7 linked regions of the Sus scrofa genome follow. The protein of the gene in region 4 interacts with the protein of the main gene of each other region in a biochemical or structural test. Links are inferred from orthologs where the notes say so. Each region holds a gene or a part of one and is shown on either strand. Other genes may lie near its edges. The genes, in order: CTNND2, FRMPD4, KCNJ2, DLG1, CRHR1, VANGL1 and MAPK12.

What was found.
Region 1: the proteins of DLG1 (region 4) and CTNND2 interact in a test that uses a peptide from one of them, tested with the Homo sapiens proteins (2 studies listed by IntAct, with this or other methods). The link is inferred for Sus scrofa from reciprocal best matches to the Homo sapiens genes DLG1 and CTNND2.
Region 2: the proteins of DLG1 (region 4) and FRMPD4 interact in a test that uses a peptide from one of them, tested with the Homo sapiens proteins (2 studies listed by IntAct, with this or other methods). The link is inferred for Sus scrofa from reciprocal best matches to the Homo sapiens genes DLG1 and FRMPD4.
Region 3: the proteins of DLG1 (region 4) and KCNJ2 form a complex in vitro, tested with the Homo sapiens proteins (2 studies listed by BioGRID and IntAct, with this or other methods). The link is inferred for Sus scrofa from reciprocal best matches to the Homo sapiens genes DLG1 and KCNJ2.
Region 5: the proteins of DLG1 (region 4) and CRHR1 form a complex in vitro, tested with the Homo sapiens proteins (3 studies listed by BioGRID and IntAct, with this or other methods). The link is inferred for Sus scrofa from reciprocal best matches to the Homo sapiens genes DLG1 and CRHR1.
Region 6: the proteins of DLG1 (region 4) and VANGL1 interact in a test that uses a peptide from one of them, tested with the Homo sapiens proteins (2 studies listed by IntAct, with this or other methods). The link is inferred for Sus scrofa from reciprocal best matches to the Homo sapiens genes DLG1 and VANGL1.
Region 7: the proteins of DLG1 (region 4) and MAPK12 interact in a test that uses a peptide from one of them, tested with the Homo sapiens proteins (2 studies listed by IntAct, with this or other methods). The link is inferred for Sus scrofa from reciprocal best matches to the Homo sapiens genes DLG1 and MAPK12.

What each region holds. Positions count from the first base shown.
Region 1 is NC_010458.4:1,518,974-1,522,981, forward strand, and holds the start of CTNND2 (catenin delta-2), read right to left. Parts: upstream 2,801-4,008; 5' UTR 2,578-2,800; coding exon 2,541-2,577; intron 2,530-2,540; exon of another isoform or gene 2,303-2,529; intron 2,272-2,302; exon of another isoform or gene 1,751-2,271; intron 1-1,750. UniProt on the Homo sapiens protein: Has a critical role in neuronal development, particularly in the formation and/or maintenance of dendritic spines and synapses. Involved in the regulation of Wnt signaling.
Region 2 is NC_010461.5:9,436,539-9,440,038, reverse strand, and holds part of FRMPD4 (FERM and PDZ domain-containing protein 4), read right to left. Parts: coding exon 2,219-3,500; 3' UTR 1-2,218. UniProt on the Homo sapiens protein: Positive regulator of dendritic spine morphogenesis and density. Required for the maintenance of excitatory synaptic transmission. Binds phosphatidylinositol 4,5-bisphosphate.
Region 3 is NC_010454.4:10,355,032-10,358,297, forward strand, and holds KCNJ2 (inward rectifier potassium channel 2), read right to left. Parts: upstream 1,785-3,266; coding exon 501-1,784; downstream 1-500.
Region 4 is NC_010455.5:132,969,931-132,973,430, reverse strand, and holds part of DLG1 (disks large homolog 1), read right to left. Parts: intron 1,599-3,500; coding exon 1,429-1,598; intron 490-1,428; coding exon 353-489; intron 1-352. UniProt on the Homo sapiens protein: Essential multidomain scaffolding protein required for normal development. Recruits channels, receptors and signaling molecules to discrete plasma membrane domains in polarized cells.
Region 5 is NC_010454.4:17,254,309-17,257,808, forward strand, and holds part of CRHR1 (corticotropin-releasing factor receptor 1), read right to left. Parts: intron 832-3,500; coding exon 759-831; intron 496-758; coding exon 410-495; intron 180-409; coding exon 44-179; intron 1-43.
Region 6 is NC_010446.5:105,000,354-105,003,853, forward strand, and holds part of VANGL1 (vang-like protein 1), read right to left. Parts: intron 2,619-3,500; coding exon 2,384-2,618; intron 1-2,383.
Region 7 is NC_010447.5:428,370-432,434, forward strand, and holds the start of MAPK12 (mitogen-activated protein kinase 12), read left to right. Parts: upstream 1-1,265; 5' UTR 1,266-1,477; coding exon 1,478-1,602; intron 1,603-1,669; coding exon 1,670-1,799; intron 1,800-3,988; coding exon 3,989-4,047; intron 4,048-4,065. UniProt on the Homo sapiens protein: Serine/threonine kinase which acts as an essential component of the MAP kinase signal transduction pathway.

The sequences.
Region 1 (4,008 bases), on a different chromosome or scaffold from region 4:
ATTTCAGTGGGAGAAAGAATTGGCTTGTGGGCTAACTGTGGAAGATGGGAAGTTGATAGAAATACTGTAATTTGGCAGTGCATGACTTTTATTACAAACAAGGAAAACATCAGTGACATCTATAATGATTAGATTATACAATGACACAAACATACACCAAATTAAATAACTCCTTCCCACAAGACTATGACAATTTTAATAGAGCAACAACCTTCCGTACTCACTACAATTGCCATTCAATCAAGTATTATCATCTTTAACCCACAATGTAACATAAAATTCATACAACAAAGAATCTGAAAAAAAAAAGGATCTGTGTATAGTGTAACTGAATCACTGTCATACAGCAGAAATTATCACAACATTGCAAATCAACTATACTTAAATAGAACTTTTTTAAAAGCACAGAGGATAAAAAATTTCCCAATTAAAAGTTTATTAGAAAAAAAAAACTCATACAAGTAGTTTTTCCTCCCCCATCAGCTGCTCTGTATGCACACATAGGCACTGAGAAATCTCCACTAGTCCTTTAAGAATCATGTTTAAAACGGAAACACTAGATTCAAAAGGAAAAGTCAAAAGACATGAATATCTACTTCACCTACTGCTTCTTTTTTTGCAAAAAATCTAATATTAAAACAACACAACAAGCACAAGAGTGTGTTCAAAGTGCTCTTGGAAAGTTCTCTGAATGTGAAAAAGGTGAAACTCAAGCAATATTGGTAAAACTAACCACACTCTTCAGTTAACTCCAGCCGTATGGGCGATAGTAGTCTTTCCAAGACACTGAGACTCTTTAGCTGTATAATCACAGGCCTCCCAAATTTCAACATCTCGCCCCAAATGCAATCATCTTCATTCAAGTCCTGAGATCCTGTAACCCACAGACCAGAAAGGGTGCCACTTAACATTTCCCCCCAAACATTAAAAATGGATTCTGTGTGTGTGGCAAAGAGATTTCACGGTGGTTTAAATTCTAGCATCAAGTCCCTATTTGAGAATGCCTGCCCCTCTCTGTCATACTTCCCATACAGCAAGCCCCCCAAAGTCATGCACAGGTTCAGTCCTGTAGTTCAATATGAGTCATATCAAATACTTTCCCACCGGATTTTAAAAGTGGTGCAGCTCTAAAGGCTTCTAATCCTGTATGTGATTTACTACCAGCAAAGAGACAAACTGAATTATCATCAGCAGCTGGTGGTAGTTTAAAGCTGCTGATGGAAGGATGCACAATGAGATAACTCTCAGGTAGTTGCAGCACCTCCTTATTTTCATGGAAATCGTTGCAGAAAAGTCCAAGCATCCTAAATATCAGTCACATAGTTTCTAAAAGTGAAAATATATACATCCATATCAGTCCTGAAAGATGTCTATAACTATTCATTTTCTAAAGCAACATATTTGCTTGGTAACATTAAGCATGCATGTGAAAAACACCTTTCAGAGCCCAAGCAAATCAGATCAGTTCAACTGAAGCACGCAAGGGGAAAATAACACCTTGGAAACCACAACCTGCCCCTCTTTTTCTCTCTTCCCACTCTTCACTATCCCCCAAATTTGCAGTGAAGCGCAACTTTAGGCATTTTAGAAGTAACTGCTCGTTGTGGGAAACACACGCACACCCCAAAACCTCCCAGATTGTTTTCCTACCACACAGACCAGGAAGGCTGCACCACCTCTCCAGTGACTTAATTCTGAATGTAGTGGCTGGAACCAGCCGAGCAGCAATCGATGGAAACACATTACATACCAGAATGAGAGAAGGTCGGCGAAAAAGAAAAGCAGCTTTGCTTTCGGCCATTAATTACCGATCACCCAAATATCGCATCGCAACATCCCACCCACACGCACAGCGTTCCAAACCTGGGTTTCAGGCGGCGCTTTCCGGAGCCTCTCTATCTATTGTCAGGACGCAGAAGCCCCCGAAACCTGTGAATCGAGCTGAAAATGCTTCCTCTGAAACAGCTAAATATAGACCAAAGGGCTCTGGGTCTGGCAAGCAGCGGGAGACCGAAGAAACAGCCATGGACGCAAATGACTAAGTATTTCCATTTTGTTCTAGCCAAACATCGTAATGACATTGAACATAAGGGCAAAAGACTGGAGGGAAGTCCTCCCCACCCCCACCCGTCTTCTCCCGTATATTAGGGACGTCATGAATGCAACGGGTCTGTTCTGGAGGGTGGCGGGGAGCGGTATTGTTGGTGTTGCCCTACATACGCCTCCTCCGGGGGAGATGGGTGGCGGGGAGGGGGAGCACGCGGAGAAGCCACTTGGTAACCGCTCTGAGAAAAGCACTAACCCTGGCCCCCATTCCAGGCAGAGCCGTTTTCCGAGAGGGGACCTAGCGCGATCGCGGTCCTCCCCCGGCTGGCAGGACCGCGCTGGAGCCGCCGCCGCCAGCCGGCGGGGAGAGCCGAGGACCAACCCCCACCGGCGGCTAGAAGGAGGAGGAGGGCGAGGAGGAGGAGGGCGAGGAGGAGGAGGACGACGCCAAGCGGGATGCGCCCGGCCCCAGCAGCCCGGCCAAGGCAACTCACCGAACGGCGCGGCGCCCGATTGTCTCCTCGCGAACATGCACCCGCCGCCAACGACAGCTCCTCAGTCCGGGGAAAGGCGTGCGCGCCGCCGCCCGGCTTCAGGGCAAGGTCCTGACCTTGCCCAACTGCAGCATCTTCCGCTTTTGTTGTCTGAGCGCGGCCGCGGGACAAGTGATGCTGGCGGGGAGCAGGGGCGAGCGCCGCGGGGGAGAGGCGGCTCCCGACGCGAGTGCGCTGAGCCCGGCCCGGCGGCCCCTCCGAGCGCAGCGAGCGCAGCGCCCCCTGCCCGGCTCCGCGGGCTCCGCGGGCTCAGGGCTCCTGCGGGCTTCCGCGGGCTCCTCCGGGATCCGGGCGCCGCCGCCGCCGCCGCCGGCCGGGCTGAGAGAGCCGCCGCCACAGCCGCGCCCGCCGCTCCGCTCGGCCGGCTGCCGCCGCGGGCGCGAGCCTGGGGCCGCCGCGGCGCCCGGCGCCGAGCGCTCCCGTGCTGCGCCCCGCGCGCGGCCCGCGCCACCTGTGCCGCCGCCGCCGCCGCCGCCGCCGCCGCCGCCGCCGCCGCCGCCGCCGCCGCCGCCGCCGCCGCCGCCGCCGCCGCCGCCGCCGCCGCCGCCGCCGCCGCCGAGGGCGAGGCTCCTCCCGCGGCGCGCGGCAGCCTCAGCCTCCACCTATGCCTCGGCGGCCGGCTCGGGCGCCGGGCTAGTGAGGCAGCGTCCGCCCCGCCGCCCAAACCTGCCCTGGGTGCCGAGCATGCCCAGTGCCGCCGCGCGAGCGCGGCGCTTCGCCGTGCGCATTCCACTTCTCCTGGTTTTCGCGGCAGCAGAGGCAGCAGCAGGAGAGAGGGGAGGAGGCCCCGGGTTGCGAGAGGGCCGAGCATCCTTGGGAACACACACCCCAGCCCTCAGATGGGTGGATGTTCGCGAACCAGGCGAAAACTAGAAAGGACCGGGGGAAGGCCTGGAACCCCGGTATGGACCGGTTCTCAAAGGACGGGTTACTTCATTTACGTGCAAGATGCTGACGGTTAATTGTGGTCGGGGCAGAAGTCAGCCTGCAAACAAAGGGCAGGGATGAGGGGCTTTTAAGACAGTTTCTGTGTGTGCTGGGGTAGAAGCCAGGCTGAAGGTGCCCGCTGCTGGGTGAAGATGGAGCCGCTCAAATCCTGTGGTTCTAGAGCAAAGAGGGCAAGACATCCATCTCAGGTCTTCCCTACAACGTCTGTCCAATCTTACTGTCACTTCCAGGGCTTAGATTAAACATGCTTTTCGCGAGTGGAGAGACTCCTTAAACGAAATCCCTCTGGTTTTGAGTCTGGAATGTGTGTCAACTTACTGCAAGAAAGACCATTGTCTAGTCTGGAACTGAAATGGGTCGTAAATAGGTTCCCCTCCTCCAGCGCCCCCTATGCTTTCTTCCAACTTGCGCACCTCTGCCACCATCTCTTCCTCCTCCTCTTCCCCCTTCCCAGGCTAAA
Region 2 (3,500 bases), on a different chromosome or scaffold from region 4:
CATTCTGCACAGAGTCAGGATACAATATGCATATAAAACAAACAGCCCCCACAGAGGATCTTGGGCAATATATTTAATGCGATACTTATCATGATAATAACATCTGACACTGAGTGCTTGCTCTTTGCCAGGTATTGTGGTGAGAACTTTATATACATAATTTTACTTAGAACTCATGACAATCCTATGGAAAGAGATCTTACTACTGAATTCCATTTTAAGAGAAGGAAATCAAGACTGAGAAACTGATTAGCTTTCCCAAGATGAAAGGGCTAGAAAATGGCAGAGTCCAAATTTAAATCAAGAAGTTTTGGACCCCAAACCCCACGTCCTTAACTACTAAACTATCCTGCCTCCATAGGGAATTAACGATAGTGTCCAAACCATAAGAACGCTGTGATGATTAAATGAGAGAATATATATGATATGTTTAGCACATTGTCTGACATAGAACACACATCCTATTAATATGTATTTTAGTACACAGAATATTTACCAAAAATTTCCACAGTAAACACCATTAATATTTCTCACTATCAAACATCAATATTTGTAATCAAATAATGTTTTATTATTTAAACATTATAATAACACACGTCTAAATTTCTTTTGTTTGCTACCACCTATAAATATGTGTGGCTTTTGTTACTGAATCTCTAAGGAACAACTGACGAGAGAGGGATAGCAATTGGGGACCATATTATGCCTATAAAAATGGAAATATCTGCACTGGACACACTCCTGTCACATTGGAAGAAGCCACCTACATAAATCGGAGTGTGTGTAGCTTGAACACTAAATGAGCCATGAAGCACATATGTACATATCAACTTTATTATACAGTTGCAGACTTTGCATCCTTTCGCTTTGACCCAAAGATACATTTTGAGAGAGACGATGGTTCTAAACACTTCTTTGTGCTCCATCAGGTTCACTTAACATGGTCAAATTTACCACTTTTTTTTTTTCTTCAGCTTTTGTGTTTCTATCAGCCACTCCAGATTAGAACACTTCACAAATACTTTATGATTTATTTAAGTATGGCTTCCATATCCGAGTAGCTCTCTCTCCCTGATTTTCTGGAACATTCCAGATTTTAAGTTTTGTCCCAGTGTCAGACTGTAATTGTCAATTTGGTTGGGAGCGTTGGCCCCTGTAGAGGTGATGCACGAAGCTCTATGCTGAGAGCTGTGATCGTCGATGTGACTCATAGCCTGGTGTGCGGTTGGCTTTACGTTACTGGACCTGCATTTACTTGCAAGGATCATTAACTGTTCCTTTTTGTACTTCTGCAAATACTTTACTAAATGTTCTGTCACTCTTCAGGGAATTCTACGTTTCATGGCTGAACTGAAGGGCAGGGAGATGGTGTCTTTGGTTTATATATTTTGACATTGAGTTAAAGCAGATCTCTCTTTTCATCAACCAATCTCATTTTGGTATTATTAATTCCTTTCATTTTATGCAATTAGATTGTCTACAACTAGATACTACCCAGGAACCTGCCCATCATTCCCTCTGTTCTTCCATTTGGGAAATATTTTTAATTCTAGAAACATCATGAACAGCATTTGTGTTGACACAATAGAATCCACTCCCACCCCATTTCTAGCCCAAATGGCATAAGCCAAAATTAAATATGTAGGATTCTTGGAAAAAAGCATCAGATAACCAAACACTATGAGCAAAAAATTAATTTATTATATATATTCTCTAATAATTCATAATAGCTTTTTGAATTTTAAATGTATTTTTGCTATTTCCAATGCTTAAAAATCATAATTTTAAAACATAAGTATTGTTTTATATACATTGTGATTTTTCTTTTCGTTTTTGTCTTTACTTCTAAATATGAATGATATGGTCTCCAAGTATCCGCTTGGAAGGAAAGGGGATAGGATTCATTGTTTTGCTCCAACACAGCAGAATTTAAAATCTCATATCATATACCTGGAGTTTTGACTATATGAAAAATAGCCAAAGGTCACCACTTTCTTGTATATTCCTTTTACATGTATATATATGTATAATATAAACAGAATACAACTGGATTAGTACATTTCAACTTTTCATCAATGCGACTTTCATCTCCTATTTCATATAAAATAACAAAATATACAGAGAGAAGAAAGGAGACATCTGTTCATCGTACACATAAAGTAAATAAAAGTTCATGTATGGCTTTGCAAAGGTAGATTATGACATGACTTTCATACTTTTATTTATTTAAAAGCATCTTGAGAGAACGTGTTAGTGTGCTTACGAGAGCGGCCATGGTGGTTGAATGTCGCATCGAGAGTCCAACACTGGGATCCCCAGCGGTCTTTCCAGTGGCTGCCTCAGCAGCTTTCAGGAGACAGATGTAGTTTATGACCACTTCATCAATCTTCGCTACAATTTCCTGCCGCTGCGTTTCTGAGTTCACGACTTTAACTAATCGCATGCAGGCTTCTGTTAGGCAACAGAGCACTTGAAAACTGGAAGTCATGGCTAGGAGCATCTCCTCTGGGCTTTTTTCAGCCATTGCCATTTTCCTACAGGCACTTCCCAACTGTCTGGACTCAATGGATAACAGTTGCTTGTACTGAGAAAGTGTTAGGTCATAGGCTTCAGGGCGTGACTCTTCTTTCTTCCCCTTGGTTGCCCTGACAAGGCAGAGCAGCTCATTGGCATCATTTTGGGCTGCGAGGAACCCATCGGGCATTGCATACATGCTCTCCTTTAGGGCATTTATTCTTGCAATCTGGGCATCAAAAGCCAGGTTGCTCAAGTCCACATCATCTGGGCCACTCAAGTCTTCTGCCCAGACCTTCAGCACTGAACCTCTGGACAGCTCCCCTCCTTGCTTCCGAATCCCAACAGCCAGGGGTGGGCTGCTTGGTTCTGGCATGGCTTGAGTCATCTGTGGTCGAAAGAGGCAAGAGACTTGGCGGGTGGCCTCTCCCTCCTCTTCATCCTCCTCACCATCTTCATCCTGCCCTCGGTTCAGGAAGCAGTAGCTGAAGGGTCCCCGGCATCTCCAATTGCTGCCTTCCAGCTTCCGCAAGGGCAATGTCCTATACAGCTTTGAGTCTTTGTGAGCCACCGGGGACCTTTTCTGAACCTTCCCCTCAGAGCTAAAGTGCATGGAGCTTTGGGAACAACTTTTGGTGAGCTTCTTCCCCAGGGGGAGTTCTGCTCGCCTTTCTGAACTGGCCTCCTGTGCTTCTCTGATACCTGGACAGTTTAAGCTGACTGCACCCTTGCTTCTCTCTCGGAAGGTCTCCAAACTTACAGATCCCGAGAGGATACTGCTGCTCCGTCTCAGAGCCCTCTGGCTGGGGGGTGTCCTGAGGCTCCCCCCTCTCAGATCCAGTGGCCGCCAGCTCACAGCCTCTCTGTAGGCCTGGTTTTCTTGGGAGAAATCATTAGGGTCTTGATTTGGAATTGGCACCTTTGATTCCGAGTGAATGTTTGATGGTAGCAGGGTGGGATCAGCTTCAGGATGTTGAGACCAAGCT
Region 3 (3,266 bases), on a different chromosome or scaffold from region 4:
TTTCAACCAAGTTCAACACTGACTTTTAAATTACACAAAAGAAAAAACTACACTGCAACAATACAATTTGTGTTCATGTAGTTAGCAGCTTTTCAAAAGTTAAGGCAGAGTCTTGCCTTTAAAACATTTAAAAATGTTATGCCATTAAAAACATTCTTGTTCCCTAAAGAGAAGCATTCTGGATAAGTCAAACACCCAACCAACCAAGGCTTGCCTGCAAGTTCAAGTTTTGTAAAAACACAAAACACAACATAAACACCCCACCCTAACTTATTCTACAACATGTATGTGCCATCATCGGGTCACGGGGAGGCATGTTTAGTGCTTTATGTTAATCTTCGAGCTTACAGTCCTTCTTTGAAGCCCTCTGTGCTAACCTCAGTCCCTCGCGGCCACTTGTCTCGACCCACCTCTTCACCAGTACCGTCGTCTGAATCACTGTTTTGGGCCTTTGACCAACAGACTGTGTTTTAGAGTAACTATTCCAGAGGCGGGTCCAGTCATATCTCTGACTCTCGCCGCAAGGGCCTGGGTTCTAGAGGTACGCTTGCCTGGTTGTGAAGGTCTATGTCCGGGGGGGTGTCCGTACTCGTGCTTTCTGGGACTCCGTTTTCACTGTCGTCTTCCTCTTTGCTTGTGAGGGCCACTTCATTTTCATAGCAAAATGAGTTAGCGTTGGACAGGATGTATTTCTTTTCTGCTAAGTCCCTGGCACTGCAAAGGGGAGTGTTGGGTACCTCGTAAGTCTTGTGGAACCTCGAATAGTCCACCTTGTAGTAATGCTTCTCTTCAAAGAGAACAGGCTCATAGCGGTGGCCCCAGAGGATTTCGTTGGCCAGATACGAGCTCCGGCACTGTGTGGTCATGGCGGTGGCTTCGACCATGCCTTCTAGGATCACAACAATTTCAAAGTCTGCATTGTCAATGTCCTGCTTACTCAGATCATATAAAGGACTGTCTTCATCTATTTCGTGGACGATCGTGATTGGGGACACCAGAAATATACGGTCAATGCCACTGTCAAACCCAACGTTGATATCTATTTGATCCAGGGGGATGTACTCCCCTTCAGAAGTAATTCTGGATTTGAGGAGCTGCGCGCGCACGTGAGCCTCCACCAGGTGGCTTTTCCGAAGGTTGCCCACCCGCCACATCAAGCAGAGCTTGCCATCTCTCATGGCGATCACCGCGTTGTGACTGAAGACCAGGGTCTCGTTTCTCTTCTTGGGCTTGGCCATCTTGGCCATGACTGCTCCGATGATGAAGGCGTCGATGATGCAGCCCACGATGGACTGGAAGACCACCATGAAAACAGCGATCGGGCATTCGTCCGTGACACACCTGAAGCCGTAGCCGATGGTCGTCTGGGTCTCAATGGAGAAAAGGAAGGCGGCCGTGAAGCTGTTGACCTCGGACACACAAGCTTTGCTCTCCTTGGATGCATCCAGATCCCCATGGAGCAGAGCTATCAACCAAAACACACAGCCGAAAAATAGCCACGAGAGGACGAAGGCCAGGCAGAAGATAACCAGCATCCACCGCCAGCGAATGTCCACGCACGTGGTGAAGATGTCTGCCAGGTACCGCTGCCCCTTCTCGCCCACGTTGATGAACTGCACGTTACAGTGGCCGTCCTTCTTCACGAAGCGGCTCCGGCACTGCTGCCGGGTGTGGACCTTACTCTTCCCGTTCCCAAAGCCGTTGGCAACCGCCAGGGTGGCCAACTTCATGCCGTCTTCTTCTGAAGAGACAATGCTGTAGCGGTTGGTGCGCACACTGCCCATCGCTTCGGCTGTGGACGCCGGCGCTTCTGCTTTGGAAAACAGTCTGAGTTTTTGCAAAACCCTTTGGAGAAACAGTTTTGAATGTTCGGTGAGGACACACACACACAAAAAAAAATAAGGAGAGATGGGGGTCTCCAGGAGCCTTGAGGTTCTGTCTACCAGGGTCTGTCTCCTGACATGCGGAGTCACCTTAGCAACTCAGCTGACATCCAGAGAACACGTCCTGCAAAAACAGAGAGATCCCTCATTACAGGAGTCATTATAAAAGGGTTCTACACCCTAGGCAACGTTTCCTAGCAAGACATGGGGTCAGATGTAGATAAACAGACTCCAGGTTGACTCACTGGGTTTCTCCTTTCTTTGTATCCCCTCCCCCCCCCCCGCCCCCGCAAGTATTTTCTTATTTTAACGAAGTCATCGAACACAGAAGAATTAGTTACCTGTGACAGTCTTTCAACCAAAATCACAGGTTCCCCCTTTCCCCTCTTCTTCTTTTCTTTTTTTCCCCCAACAAATCTGGAATGTTCTCTTTTACAGATCCACCTCTGTCCTCTTTTTCTCTTCTTTTGCCTCCTCTACTTGCTCTGCTCCCGAGTGACTAAGCAAAAGGAAGACTCCCTTACTCCAAGGCTTTGTCATGAAGCTTTGTGAACTCGGACATGTCTAGAGAGCATTTCACCTTGAATGTAGAATGTTACTATTAACTGAGTAGCAGGTGCATTCTGGGAGAATACTGGAGCCTTTGATGACAGGGTTGAACTGCGAAGGCACAGACTATTCTGTTTAAAAGATAAAACTGAGCAGACAGCCCTTATAATCATCTGAAATGGATCCCACTTTCTGGAGACTGTTTGGGCTTGCTCCATCACTTCACACACTTTAGAGCAGCCACTGTGCAGAAACGCCTGATAACATCTTTGTTAGCGCAAGGGATTCTGACTTCAAGACGCAGGTTTGCTATGGGGGATACAGAGCGAGTCTGTTGCCTAGCAAGCAGAGTCCTGAAATTCTCTGGAGATGGGATTGCCATGTGTAATGACAGGCTAGGAAGTAAGCACCTTTGCACCCAAGGACCAGGTCTTTAGCGGATTGAGATAAAGCTGGAACTCATTTCATGTAAGTCCAAGTCTGTGTTTTCCCAAACAGAGACAGCTTTGTAGGAGTACATTATAAGGATCAGGCAGCTTACTTTCACTTCCAGGGCTACTGCTTGCCCTGTGTTCCTATGGAGAAGGTGCTCACCTTCACTAAATGTGAACAAACAGTAGTTTTCAGTTTTCTCCTCTTGCCCCCCCCCCCCGTAAAAACCATCGACTGACTTTCCATTTTTGCTCCAAAGAAACAATTTTTCCTTGATTAACAAAAGCCTAAGAGAAAGTCTAGGGTGTTCTGTGAATCAAAGAAAAATTTCTTAAACTGAATATAGCACAGAACTGAAAAATAAAAGCAATTCTCAACTTTTCAAACAACCAAATCTATCTC
Region 4 (3,500 bases):
CCTAGCCTGGGAACCTCCATATGCCGTGGGAGCGGCCCAAGAAACACCAAAAAAAAGACCAAAAAAAAAAAATATATATATATATACATATATATATATATATATATAGGCTTTAAAAAAAATAAAAAAAGAGAAGGAAAAAAAAGGAATAAAAGGAGGGGGGAGCTGGAGATGAAATGGAAATGGCAAATAAAGATATTAAAGAGTAATTTTTCAGGTTTTCATTAAAGCAAGGCTGGTATTCACTCATTTAAATTATCACAAACATTTTCTAGCATGTGGAAATTCTAGAATCCGTCAAAAGAAAAAGACATCAAAATGATTTTTAAAACAGTGGATTTCTAATACTTACTGCTAAAAGTTTATCTCCAATCTGAAGTTTACCATCTTTATGTGCTGCACCTCCTTCAATTATTTTGGTTACATAGATGCTATTATCCCCAGGAATATGCTGATTTCCAACACCGCCAGCAATGCTGAACCCAAGACCTGTTTGGAAAAAACCAGTTTTAGGATTTTACCAAAAAATGTAAACTGAAGTCCAGAAAGAAATGACTGAAAACTACTGTTTGTGTTTTAAGTTAAAAATAAGTTTCTTTTCCTGCCTCAGGTTACCTCTTAAAGTCTCCTTAAAAATGCATTTGTTAGTTCAAAGAGATATTGTAAAAATTTTTCATTTTTGTTCCCATGATATTTGTGCTTCTTACTAACACTTTTAATACTTCTACTACAGATTAAAACAATTAAGAAAAAATTGGTGGTGGTGGGCAGAGCTAATAGCGTCAGAAATGTGGATGTTTTTGCTGTTTTTCAATATTCTATTAATTAATTTAAAATAAGGAATGTTAACCTATTTAAAAGCCTCCCTAACCTCAAGTTAAATAAAAGTGTTATTGTTTTAATAAAAATAAATAAATAAATAAATAAGGAATGTCAATAATTCATAAGTCCCATAGTTTCAATACCAGATAATGTAGCTCTCTATTCTTTTTCCATGAAGGACAATTATAACAAGTATTTCCATTTATCCTCAAACCCATCATATTTTCAAAATTTAGAAACTGTATCTTAACAGACCTCACTGCAGATATAACTATTAATGACACGCTCTTAAAATACTTTCTTTAGCTTGTGCATCTGTATTGGGTGTACTTTGCAGATGAATGATTTTAAGTTAATATCAACATTAACTTATATTGTATATGACTTCATTGTGTTTGACTTGTATATGACTTCAAAAGTAGTGTTTACCCAGAACTCTACTTAAGATAAAAATCATTAGAAATAACAGGGAAATTCTAAACATTCACTCAAGTTCTGTAGATTATAAGTATTTTTAATCTTAAAATGTGTGTCATAAATAAATTCATAGTTACACTTCACTTAGAGATATCTTAATAATTTGTCTTAGTTTGATTTATTTCATACCTTTAGGACCTTTAATGAGTTTTATTTCCATTATTTTTTCTGATACTGGTTTCCGTCTTTTTACATACAAGCGTACAATAGACCCCGCTTCTTTCAATGCTTCAACTGCTTTGCTATGTGTTACATCACGAACATCTACCTCATTTACTCGCAGTATACAGTCATTGACCCTAAGGAGAAGATGTTAAAATTAAAAATTAAATATTAAAATGTTAAGTATCAATTTTTCACTTTGCCACTTTTTCTTGTCATTTTCTTTCTTTCTTTCTTTTTTTTTTTTGCTTTTTAGGGCCGCACCTGTGGCATATGGAGGTTCCCAGGCTAGGGGTCCAATCGGAGCTGTAGCCACCAGCCTACGCCACAGCCATAGCAACACAGGACCCGAGCCACATCTGTGACCTACACCACAGCTCACAGCAACGCCAGATCCTTAACCCACTGAGTGAGGCCAGGGATCGAACCCACAACCTCATGGTTCCTAGTCAGATTTGTTTCTACTGCGCCACGATGGGCACTCCATTCATTCTCATTTTTTAGAGAGAATTATTTACTAGAATAATTTATTAGAAGAAACTGCATGTTAAATTCCAATTTATCAAAACTCATATAAACAAACATTTCCTAAGGTCCAGCAAAAGAAATAGTGCAAATAACAGATTACTATGCAAAAATATTAAATAATAATCGCAGCTTTAAGTATGATTATGTATAGAAATTACAATACTTTAGAAAAATAATAAACATTTATTTAGCGCTAACCATGTGCCAGGAACTTCTTTTAATGTTTTAACTCTTACAACAAGCTCCAAGGTAAATGCTTATTTATATTCCTATTGTATAGATGAAGAAATCGAGGCACAAAGAGTTTAAATAACCTTCCCAAGGCTGCCCAGATCATGAGCAACAGAGCAGTGATTCTAAGATAAGAAAACTGAGGCTCAGACTGAATAACTAGCTTAAGGTCACTGAGATAGTAAGTGGCAAAACCGGGATTAAATTCACTGATTTACCCAAAAATAAACAGATCTCAGTTTCAACTACGTGGTATTTCACTAGAAAACAAAAAAGATGGTCATCTCAAATTGGGCAGGGAAGGGGAACAAAACATAATTAAAATATTTAAGTTGATCATGATAAACTTCAATGTCTAACTTCCTTTAGTGGAAAGAAATTCTACATTCAAAGACAATGATACTGTAGAGTTGGTACTATAGGTAAGTTCTCCAGCGAAAACAAATGGAACATATTAATTTTACAGAAGAGGCACAAATAAAAGCCCAATAACAGAATCACCAAGTAAACGTTTACATTTATATAAATAGCCAAATTATTAATTTTATATGTTAACTAACTTCACTAAAATACCACCTATCCTATCTAGTGAGAAGTAACATCTAGAAACTGAAGAGCTGCTTAAGGCACTAATAGCCTTAAAATAAGATACTGTTTTTAACAGACCATATAAAATTCTTAGTCCTAAAACATTAGGAAACTCACCACGAATAAAAAACAACAAAGGGAAGAGGAAAAGTGCCATAATCTATGGCCTAAGGAAACAATAAAGTATGCTAAAGATACCTTCTGAAATGGAACACTGAATTTCAGTAAGAGAACAATGTTACATTTATTAAGAAAATAAATTAATTTACTTGAACTTTGAATAATCTTTACTCTTTGTAGCCTGAGATACAAAGTCAGATATATATGATTTTCTGTATCCTAAATAAGTTTATACACGTTTCCCACCCAGAAAATAAATGGAAAGCATTTTGTGAATGTTTGTGAAAATACAACAAGAAATCTATGATTTCTATAAATTTGCTCACAAATACTTAAACCATTCAAATTTATTATTCAAAATGTTTAATTTCCAAGATAAAGTGAATTCCTAAATTAGAAAATTCCTAAAAGAGGGAAACAATGCTTAAGGCACAATTATCTCATTCATTTATTTGATATTTGAGCATCTACCTTATGTTAGTTATTACAACAGTGTTCTGTTGTATTTATTCACTGGTGTTTGCCTCAAGAAAAATCTACAAAGTGGATTTGGTATCACAACATAAAGTGCA
Region 5 (3,500 bases), on a different chromosome or scaffold from region 4:
GGCCAGGGCCATAGCCAGGGCGGGAGGGGGCGGGCAGCTGTACCTGGAAGGATTCCAGGAAGGAGTTGAAGTAGATGAAGACGACCCGGGAGACCTCGTCTTCCCCGGGGTTCACGAAGAACAGCATGTACGTGATGCCCAGGAGGGGGAGCAGCACCAGGGTGGCCTTGACAGCCTTCCTGAGATGGGGGGAGGTGGGGAGGCTGAGTCACAGCCCACCCCCAGAGGGGGCTGGGGCCTCGGCCTGGTGAAGAGGACCGGGTCCGGGGGAGGGCTGCAGCAGACCCCCACCCCCGTCTGAGACAGGGAGCTGGGGTTTCAGGAAGGACTCTCAGATCTGGTGGCAGGGACCCTGGGTCAGAGGTGGGGTCTCTGAAGCCCCCTCGGTGGGAAAGGCAGCACTGCTTACCTGTACTGAATGGTCTCAGAAGTGGTGGATGCCCGGAGTTTGGTCATGAGGATGCGGACGATGTTGAAAAGGAAGATAAAGTTGATCTGTAATTTGAGCACGCAGTGCGGTGGCATGGGCATGGATGTGTGCAGGACAGTGGCGGGGTGGGTGGGGACAGGTCAGGGACTCAGCTATCTCAGGTCTGGCCTCTGTCCCCCTGCTGCTCCCCACTGCCTTCGTGAGCCCATGCACATTTCTGGCCCCACAACCTTCACCTCTGGGAGAGGGATCCTTTCTGTCCACAGAAAGCACCGCTTGCCCGTCCCCACTGAGCCCCTCTCTCCTGCCCCCCTACCCAGGCTCTTACCAGCAGGACCAATATCATGGGGCCCTGGTAGATGTAGTCAGTGTATACCCCAGGCCTTTTGCCAAACCAGCACCTAGAAAGCCACAGAGGGAGGAGGAGGAGGGTCATCTGGGTCCATTTGAGTGTCACGTGGGAGGAGCAGTGCTGGGCCAGGGCAGGACTGGAGCCAAAAGCCAGGATCTGGGTGCCCCAATTCCAACCCTGGTAGAACTGGTCAAGATCCCACCACGTTGCCTCAGTCATTCCATCTGCAGAATGGACAGCATCCTTAGAGATGTAAAGGCAGAAGCAGGCCCAGTGGCCCAAGGGGAACTGTGGAAAAAACCCACTGAATAGAATAGGCATGGGCTCGACACACACAGCTCCCCTTGGCCCACAGTGGCTCTGGCGCATGCCCACAAGTGGTACCTTCCCCTCCACCTGTCATGCAGTGACAGCTCTAGCTAACAATCCCTGAATGTCTTTAATTGCAGCCTGAACAACCTGGAGGCAGAGATTCTACAGGTTTCACCTGTCGGGAGAAGCAGACTTGCCTTGTGTTTTCTTGAGTTTCCTTCCAGCGAGATCTAAAGAGGTCTGGGGAGTGGGTTGGGATGGGGCACATAGGAAGTCCTATGGCCTTGAGCAGAGACTGTGGAGCAGAGACTGTTGAGCAGCTAGGACGCAAATCTGCAGTACCTAGATCTCATGATGCTTCCATAAACAAGAAACTGAAAATTTTATGTGAAACCTATTGACTTTTTCAAGGTTGGCAATAAATTCAAGTTTTCCAAAAAAACTGTGCTGACCAAACACAGGCTGTCCTGGGGCCAGGTCCAGTCCTTGGCCCTCAGACCTGCAGGTTCCTTCTCAGGACTCACACCTGGATCCCTTCTGCTGCAGTGTCACCATTTCACCACAAGGTGGCACTCCAGAGGCGATCAGACTGACTTTCCTCAGAGCTCTGGTGGTATCTTTCCAGACAAACACTGGGCAGGTGTTTGGGTTTGTTTTTTGTTTTTTTGCTTTTTTTGTTTTTGGTCTTTTTAGGGCTGCACTCACAACATATAGAGGTTCCCAGGCTACGGGTCCAATCAGAGCTACAGCTGCCAGCCTATGCCACAGCCACAGCCACAGCAACGCCAGATCCAAGCCACGTCTGCGACCTACACCTCAGCTCACCGTAAGGCCGGATCCTTAACACACTAAACAAGTCCAAGGATTGAACCCACATCCTCAGGGATACTAGTCATGTTTTCTATTGCTGAGCCAAAATGGGAACTCCTGGGCAGCTTTTTTTTTTTTTTTTTTTTTTTTTTTGGTCTTTTCTAGGCTGCACCTGCGGCATATGGAGGTTCCCAGGCTAGGGGTCTAATCGGAGCTGTAGACACAGGCCTACGCCGGAGCCACAGCAACGCAGGATCTGAGCCGCGTCCGTGACCTACACCACAGCTCATGGCAATGCCGGATTCTTAACCCACTGAACGAGGTCAGGGATCGAACCCGCAACCTCATGGCTCCTAGTCAGGCTCGTTAACCACTGAGCCATGACGGGAACTCCCTGGGCAGTTTTTCGAAACGTGTTCCTCCCCTCTGCCTCTGCCTCTGTACTCACATGCACACCTACAAGCACAGTCTCCCTCGACTGGGATTTACAATCCTGGGTGCTCTGGGATCCAGGCCACAGTCCTGTCAGCTCCTTCCTGAGAACACTCTGGCAAAGAATGTGCTGGCACCTCCTCCACCAACTTTTTCTGCCTCTGCTTCTTAATCTTGGCTTTGCATTAGAATCACCTGGGCAGGTTTAAAATATCCTGGTGCCCAGGTCATACTCTAGACCAATGACATCCATCTCCCCGGAGGTCAAGCCTGGGCATTGGTATTTTTAAAGCTTCCTGAATGATTCTAACATGAACCAAAGCTGAGAACTACCTCATCCGTTTTCAGGGGTGATTGGAAACATCTGCTTCCATTTAAAAGGTCTGTCTGGACTTTAGAGCTAGAAGGAGTCTCTGAGATTGTCCAGATTCATTTCTGTTAAATCCACGGAATCTTCTGTTAAACATTATCAGAAAACATTTTTATGGCATTTACTATGTGCCAGACTCTATTCTAAGTTTTTTTGATGTTTGTTTGGCTTTTTAGGGCCCCACTCTCGGCATATGGAAGTTCCCAGGCTAGGCGTCGAATTGCAGCTACAGCTGCCAGCCTACACCACAGCTCAAATCAACACCAGATCCTTAACCCACTGAGCGAGGCCAGGGATTGAACCCATGTCCTCAGGGATACTAGTCAGTTTCGTTTCTACTGAGCCACGATGGGAACTCCCTATTCTGTCTTGATATTAACTTATGTCATCCCCATAACAACCCTTTGAAGGAGGCACTACTACAAGGATGCCCATTTTACAGATGAGGAAACTGAGGCACACTGTAGTAAGCAGCCCAAGGTAATAAAGCTACTGAACAGTGGAGCCATGATTCGGAAACTGGGTGGTCTGGCTCCAAAGATTGCCAGTAGCCTTTAGGCTGTTCTGCTTGTTGTGAGACAGATAAAGAGAGCCTGGACCTGCCTGTCCAGCCCCACCTCAGGCAGAGCACTGCTAGGGAGCCTCAGATTGAGTCTGACTCCCAGCACCCTCCTATATGGATGAGGAAACTGGGGCCCTGACAGGGAAGGTGACATGGCTGACGCCCCCTGGGGAGTGTCAGGCAGAGCTGGGCTGGGGGCCTCCTTGGGAGTCAGGGGTCCCCCAGAGCAGTG
Region 6 (3,500 bases), on a different chromosome or scaffold from region 4:
TGAAAGAGTGACACCACTTAGCAGGACAATTTGGCAGGATCTGTGCCTTTGATCCAGCTGTTCCTCTACCAGAAATGCATCCTTCTGAAATAATTGCCTACATACACAAAAACACATGTAAAAAAGGGATTTACTGCAACTCTGTTTAGGCCAGGGGTTGGCAAACTTTTCTCTAAACGTAAATATTTTTGGCTTTGCAAGGCACGCACTGTCACAACGACTCAAGTCTGTCCTGGTAGAGAGACAGCAGCTGTCGACAATCTGTAAATAAAGGGTGTGGCTGTGTTCCAGGAAAGCTCGATTAGCAAAAAGAGCCAAGCCCTCATTCAGACTAAAGAACGATCTTACTCCAGAAGTGCATCAGTAGGCAGTCTGTTAAACAAACCCCGGTATTCAGTGGGCTAGGATGCAGCTATTGGAGAGAAAGAGTTAGAGCTGTGTGAAGGCCTGACATGGACAGACAGCCAAGAGCAGCTTTAAGTGAAAAAACCTAGTATCCATACTTTATCTATATAGTTTGAGATCCCATTTCTGTTTTTTGGTTTTTGTTTTTTTCCTATTTCTGTTTTGAAAACACACACCCACCCGGAAAGAATATACACCCAGTCTTTATATCAGTAAGAACTGTCTGGATTAGGGGAATCAAAACTTCACTTTGTACCTTATACTTTTCTTTCTTGCTTTTTTTTTTTTTTTTTTTTTTTGGCTTTTTTTGCTTTTGAGGGCCACACCCGTGGCATATGGAAGTTCCCAGGCTAGGGGTCAAATTGGAGCTACAGCTGCAGGCCTACATCACAGCCACAGCAATGCGGGATCCGAGCCACATCTGCAACCTACACCACAGCTCACTGCAACGTCGGATCCTTAACCCACTGAGCAAGGCCAGGGATCAAACCTGCATCCTCATGGATACTAGTCAGGTTCGTTAACTGCTGAGCCACGAAGGGAACTCCCATTATACTTTTCTTTAATGTTAACATTTTCATGCAAATATTATTTTTTATTCAGAAAAGTATACTCTTTTTCAGTGAAAAAGAAAGCCCTCAGGAAACCTTTTTAAAAACCTTGAAAAAAAGGAAAATAACCACTTCCATTCTGTGTGGCACGAGCTATCACTCTGTACACCCAGACTTACTGGGCTCACTTGCAACCACAGCGTTCACACTTATTTGTATTCTGCATTTTGTAACTTATTATTATAGCAACAAAGAGTCTTCTGTGTTTTAATAAGTGATGTACCAGAATTTATAAGCTACTGTTCTATTTTTAAGTTATTTCCAGTTTTGAGTGAATACAGACTATTTTGCAAAAACTCACCTGCATGTATATTCATATATATGAGCTGACTGTGCTGAATACTTTTTCCAGGAGAGGGGCTAGTAAGTCAAGGAGTGTGAAAACCCATGTTGTTTTCCTAAGTGTCATTACTGGTTAGCGACAATGTCATCAGCAGTTGTGTACATTCAGGGCAGTGTCTGAACACAGGTCCTTATACCAACAGTAACACTACCAAGTGCACATGTGTACGAAATGTCAAGGTCATTTACGCTCTACCATGTGACTGACCTGTCATGCTGCCATTTTTACTATAATTCCCACACAACAATCCTATCAAGTAGATACTATCATTATCCTCATTTTATAAAAGAGGAAACAAGTGTAAACTTAAGGCTAAGTCACAAAGCAATTCGGTGGTGGAGCCTGGAGGTGAACCCACTTCTATCTGAAGAGCGGTCATTTGCTGAACCCTTACTCTGTGCTGCCTCCTTGGCCACATCCGTCTAGTAGATGCATTGCTGTTTGCCACATCCCCCGCGGTGTGCTCACGTCATAATCCAAAAGACCATTTAGTAAAACTAAACCCACAACAGCCCCAAAACGCCCAAGTGATGGCCTTGTTTCTACCGCTGATAATCAAAGCTATTTCTTTGGTCCTTCCACTAGGACAGATGCAGTTTTAAGCCCTGCACAAGAACGGGCTTAAAACTGTGTGCCTCTTAGTTATCACAACAACCCAATGAAGTAGATACTAGTATTATCCCCAATTTACAGGTTAGGAAACCGAGGCACAGAGCCATTAAGCTCCTGGCCCAAGGTTTCCCACTGGCAGAAAGGAACAGAAAGCCAGGTTAGAATGAGTCAACCAGAAACGAGAAACCAGCGTACCCCGAGCTGCCACCTGGACCATCTCTAAGTGAAAGTCTTTCCTCTGCTTGAATCCAGAGGCCTCCAAAGGCAACTTAAAAAAGCAACTGTGCCAAAACCGCACAAAATAAGTGAGAATCCCTCATTCTTATTCATTGGCGCTTGAGAGAAGCCTCTGATGTTCGCACTCCTGACCACCCCTGAAGTGGGACTCCCCGAGCTCGGTGACCAGCCGCACCTTGGGGGTCATGCTGTTGGTGATGCAGAAGGCCAGGTGCTGCAGGATGCTCTCCATGCTGTGGTAGTGCTGCTGCCGGGTGGTGCGCAGGTACTTCTGCAGAGCCCGGGCCATGGAGGGGAAGATGGCCTGCGCGGCCTCCCTGGGGTCCATCACCTCCCCTGGGGCTTTCTGCTGCTCCTCGGCCTGGAGACGCTGGATGTGGATGAAGGCCTCCTCCACCGCGACCACCAGCCTGGAGGGGCCGAAACAAGGGCATCGGGACCGTGGGGCGGGGCTCGAGGACAGAGGCAGACAGAACCGGGATGACGTCTGCCCGCCTGCTGTGCCCCAGTCCGCCACCAGCGCACCCACGGCTCCCCGTCCTCAGCTGCCACTCCAGATGGCGGGGGTTGTGGGGGGGGGCTGGCAGGAACGGAGAGGAGGGCAAAGGCAAATGCACTGCAGGGGATGGGGGCTTCAGGGGAGGAAGAAGGAGCCCTAGAACGAGGAGGGGACCGCTCTCAATTCTGCCACTAATTTGGGAGACTCACTTCGTCCTTTTCATCTGTACAATGAAGGGTTAGAGGAAAAGAGTTTTAGGGTCCCTCAAACTCTGGCTGCATAAGGCTCTGCGTGCACTGAGGGGTGGCCGCTGGTGCGGAAGCAGCCTGACAAAGACCTGGAGCTGTATCTCCCCCAGCCGGCCGCCCACACCAGCAGCCCTTGGGAAGGAGGAAGGCAGGGGCCCAGCACACAGGATGAAAACCGTCTTTGTCCACTTTGGCTAATGTGCTCAGATCCTGGAAACCAGCAAGAGCCTGGGGATATAGGACGGGCTCGCTCAGAGTGTGGGCCCAGGGCCAGCAGCTTCATCATCAGTGGGGAATTTCTAAGAAATGCAAATTCTTGGGTGGGCCCCACTCTAGACCCACTGAAAAATAAGTAACCTCTGTGGGTGGGGCCGGAACCTGACCTGAAATCTGTGTTTTAACAAGCCCTCCGGGTGATGCTTTTGCAGGCTAACCTTTGGGAACCACTGGAGCAAGATTCCCTCTGAAGGCCCAAGCAGTTGGGCTCATCAAGTGAAATTTCATTTGATGGTTTAGAAAGAAGTCTTGGAGGGGATGCTGGTGTG
Region 7 (4,065 bases), on a different chromosome or scaffold from region 4:
AGATGGCGGGCTGCTTCAGCCCACAGGCACACCCCCAGGGGGAATCAGGCAGGGTATCCGCAGGACAGGGACAGCCTATGTCTCTGCCTAGGCCTTGGGGTGCAGACCACTGGGGAGGTGGGCCTCCAGAGGCCTGGGTGGTGCGGGTACTGGGCTTCTGGTCCTGGAAAACCCCTGGAGACCAGGCTGGGTCCAGTCCTGGGCGGGGGGCCGGGGGCGAACAGGAGCAGAACTGGGACATGCCTCACCGGGGAGTCTGGTCTGACGCAGAAACCTCTGGACTGCTGGGGGCTTCCTGGAGGAGGCAGGCAGAGTGCCACAGGCAGCCCAGGGCATGAAGCACCTGGGGAGAGGCGGTGGTGGCTCCAGTGACCCCAGGCTGCTCCCACTGACCAGCCGGCCACTCCAGAGCGCCCAGATGCCCTCGGCAGCCCAGGTGTAAAGCTGCTCTGGCCAGGCCTGAGCTGCTCAGCTGCTGATTCATGGTGCAGGGCACAGAGGGCGGGGCAGGGGGCCCTGGGGATCTTCTTACCCCACTCTCTCTCCCGCCTGGGTCACTGGGCTAGGGCAGGACAAGGAAAGGACTGGGGGCTCTGTCCTCCAGGAGCAGCGGGTCAAGGAGGGGCCAAACCCATGAAATGATGAAGCCCCCACCTGGGGCGGGGCACTGAGAGGCCCCTTCACCCCTGGGGTCAGGCACACCTTCCTGGAGAGAGAGAGGAGGCTCCCGCTGGCCTTTGAACAAACCAGAGGGCCTAGGCTGGGCAGGGGCAGGACAGGCAGAGGGACTTGCAACTGTGTGACTTGGGAGATGGAACCGACTTTTTCCTAGGGAAAGGGGGAAGGGGGAAGGCAGGTGCTGGGGACGGCGGAGCTGGGGCCGACCAGGCGGCGCGCTGGGGGGTGGACAGTGATCGGGGATGGGCTGGGCTGGAGGTTGCCCAGCTCCGGCGGGCCGCCCGCCGTGGGCCAGCGCCCCGGGGCGGTGCTTGCAGGCGGGAGACGCGGCCCCTGTTAAGATGCCTCCTCTCTGGAGGTCTGCGGGCTTCATCGCAAGGGCAGGGGCGGGCGCCGGGGGCTGGGCCGAGCCGGGGCGGCGGGCGCCGCTCCCCGTCCCCTCCGTCCCCTCCCCCGGCTCCGGCTCCGGCCTCCGGCGGGGCGGGCGGGCGGGCGGGCGGCCGCCTCAGGTTTCCGGAGGGGCCGGAGGGCGGGCGCGGCGTCACGTGCGCGCGGCCCCGGGGCCGGTTGGTGCGCCGGCCGGGGAGGGGCCGCGCTGTGCCCGGGCCGGGGTCGGCGGCTCCGGAGAGCTCGGAGGCAAGAGCCGGGAGCGGGGGAGCCCCGGCGGCGACGGGCGGCGCGGCGCGGCGCCGGCTCTGCCCCGCGCCGCGGCCAGGGGCGCGCGCCAGGGTGCCCCGCGGAACCCGGGCCCCGGGTCCTCGGGGCGCGGGGTCTGCGGCGGGGCGGTGCCCGGCCAGCCATGAGCGCCCCGGCGGCCGCCCGCAAGGGCTTTTACCGCCAGGAGGTGACCAAGACGGCCTGGGAGGTGCGCGTCGTGTACCAGGACCTGCAGCCCGTGGGCTCGGGCGCCTACGGCGCCGTGTGGTGAGCGCAGGCCGGGCGGGGGCCGGGCGGCGAGGCCGGCCCTCCCGCTAAGCGGTGCGTCCCGCAGCTCGGCGGTGGACACCCGCACCGGGGCCAAGGTGGCCATCAAGAAGCTGTACCGGCCCTTCCAGTCCGAGCTGTTCGCCAAGCGCGCCTACCGCGAGCTGCGCCTGCTCAAGCACATGCGCCACGACAACGTGAGTCGCGCGGTCGCCTCGGCTCCCCGCCCCCCCCCCCCGCCCCCGCGCCCGCGCCCGCCTGGCCCGCAGCCCCTCGGCGGCGGCGAGGCCCTGGAGAGGACTCCGGTCTGGTCTTTGGCTCCTTCCCGAGGCCACATCCGGCTCGTCCGCCCGGCCCAGGCCCCGGTCAGGGGACGACGTCCTCTTGCCCGGGGGCTCACTCCAGGTCCCGCCTCCAAGCAGGATCCCCGAGGCGAGAGGCGACCTCAGGTGGGGGGCGAGTCTCTGGAAGGGGCACCGTGTCTCTTCTGGGCACCCCTTCCTGAACCCGCTGTGCTCCCTCTACCTCCTGAGCCCCAGCCCTGGGAGCCCCGAGGGGGCCTGTGTGGGCCTTGGGGAGCTGGTGTGCGAAGGACACGGGGCACACGCCTTCCTCACGTCCAGCGGCGTGCATTTCACAGCCCTTGGGGTAGGGGCTGGACCCAGCCTCCGGCAGGGAAAAGTCTGTTGCGTCCGGAACTGCCTCAAGCCTCTCCTGGGAACGCTGCTGGCTGCTAAGAGCCCTTCCCTCTGCTGGGGGTGCTCCTGCTGTTTGCCTGTGGCCTTGAGCTCTGTCCCCTCCCACACAAGCCACCCCTGCCCAGTCTGAGGGCTGGTGATCTGGGCGCCCAGACCCCGACTGATCGTGGTGGTCTGGCACCTCCTGGCTCATCAGAACCACGAGAATGAGCCTCCGTGTCCACCAGGAAACTCACCCCTTGGCTCCTGACCAACGCCCACCTCTCAGCCCCTCGCAGAGAGGGTCCTTCTTTCTCTCAGACTCCTCTACCCTTGACCCTTCCCGGGTGGCACCCATTCACCAGCCCAGCCGGGCCTTTACTGCCTCTGGGTCACATCTGGTCACACTCAGGCTTGTCCTCTCCCAGAGTCCTCACCCGGCTTCTCCCCACCACCTGCTGCTCCAGTGCCGTCTCCAGGCCTTCTGTCCAGTTACCTCCCGCCCCGATCTGTACCAGTGGGTCCTTCTCCCAGGGGAGCCCCTGACCCACAGCGCGGAGCGCTGCAACCTGCAGGGCTGTTCCAAGAGCTTCCTAAACCCAGTTCCTAGGAGGAGCTAGGCTCGGTGAGGCCGAGTGGCACACCCGCGTGAGCTCCTCCGTCCTCCCCCCCCCCCCGCCCCGCCCCGCCCCGCCCCAGGCCCCGTCTGCACCGCAGAGGCCTAGAGATCTCCATCAACCTGATGGATACCACCTGCCCCCCCCCGCCATTCCTGCCAAAGCCTCCTCCCAGGGCCCTCGGCTCACCTGCCTCCAGGCCCCTCTGGATGTGCCACTCTGTCCCCTCCACCCCGCCCACATCTCTGGCTCTGGTGTCCGCTTTGGTCATCTAGCTGTCCCTCCACCCCCATCCACCTTCACCTCACTCTGGTTTGTCCCCATATAGCAGCCAGGGGACACATTCAGCATCTCACCGTCCTCAGTGGCTCTTAGGATCAAAGCAAACCTTCCCTGGTGTTCGAGGGCCTGCTCGGGTTCCCTTCGGCTTCTCCTTGGCTACTCCTTGGCCTGGTCCTTGGCCACCTGGCCTCTCTCCCGTGTTCCTCAAACGCACCAAGCAATTTCCCTCCTGCCCCGGCCATCATTTGCCTGGCCTCTGCCAGGTGTCCCCCTGCCAGCACATCCACCTGCTCCTCCAGCCACTCTGATTCTCAGCCTCCCAGGGTCCCTGGAGGCCTTGTCACTGGAACCCCAGGTAGCAGTTGTCACATTACCTGTCTGCTGTCCATCACCCCTGGTCAGAGGGCTGTCGATGTGGCCACAGTGTTGCCTGCCTGGGCCTCTGGCAGAGGCGCAGCCTCTCGAAGGAACTCTCCCCTGAGAGGCTGTCCCCACAGTGGTCCTGGGTCTTCAGTGGGGACAGCAAGAGGGGGAGGAAGGGCCATGGGGCTGGCGCTCCTTGGATGGCCTGGGAGCTGACCCAGACTTGGGGCCGCCCCTCCCCTGGAGGATCCTGGCTGTCACCATCCCAAAATAGCCTTTGTCCATGGGCGTGTGTGCCAGGGCTGGGTTGAGCTGCTGGTGGGCAAGAGCCAGGCCCTGAATGGTGGGGGGAGACCAGGCCAGTTGCAGGAGGCTTTCCTGCCCAGAGCAGGCTGTGTCTGAGCCCCCGTGTCCCCGGCCAACCTGGTGCTCTGGCCTCCTCCCCAGGTGATTGGACTGCTGGACGTGTTCACGCCTGATGAGACCCTGGATGATTTTACAGACTTGTGAGTGCCGCCTGGGGC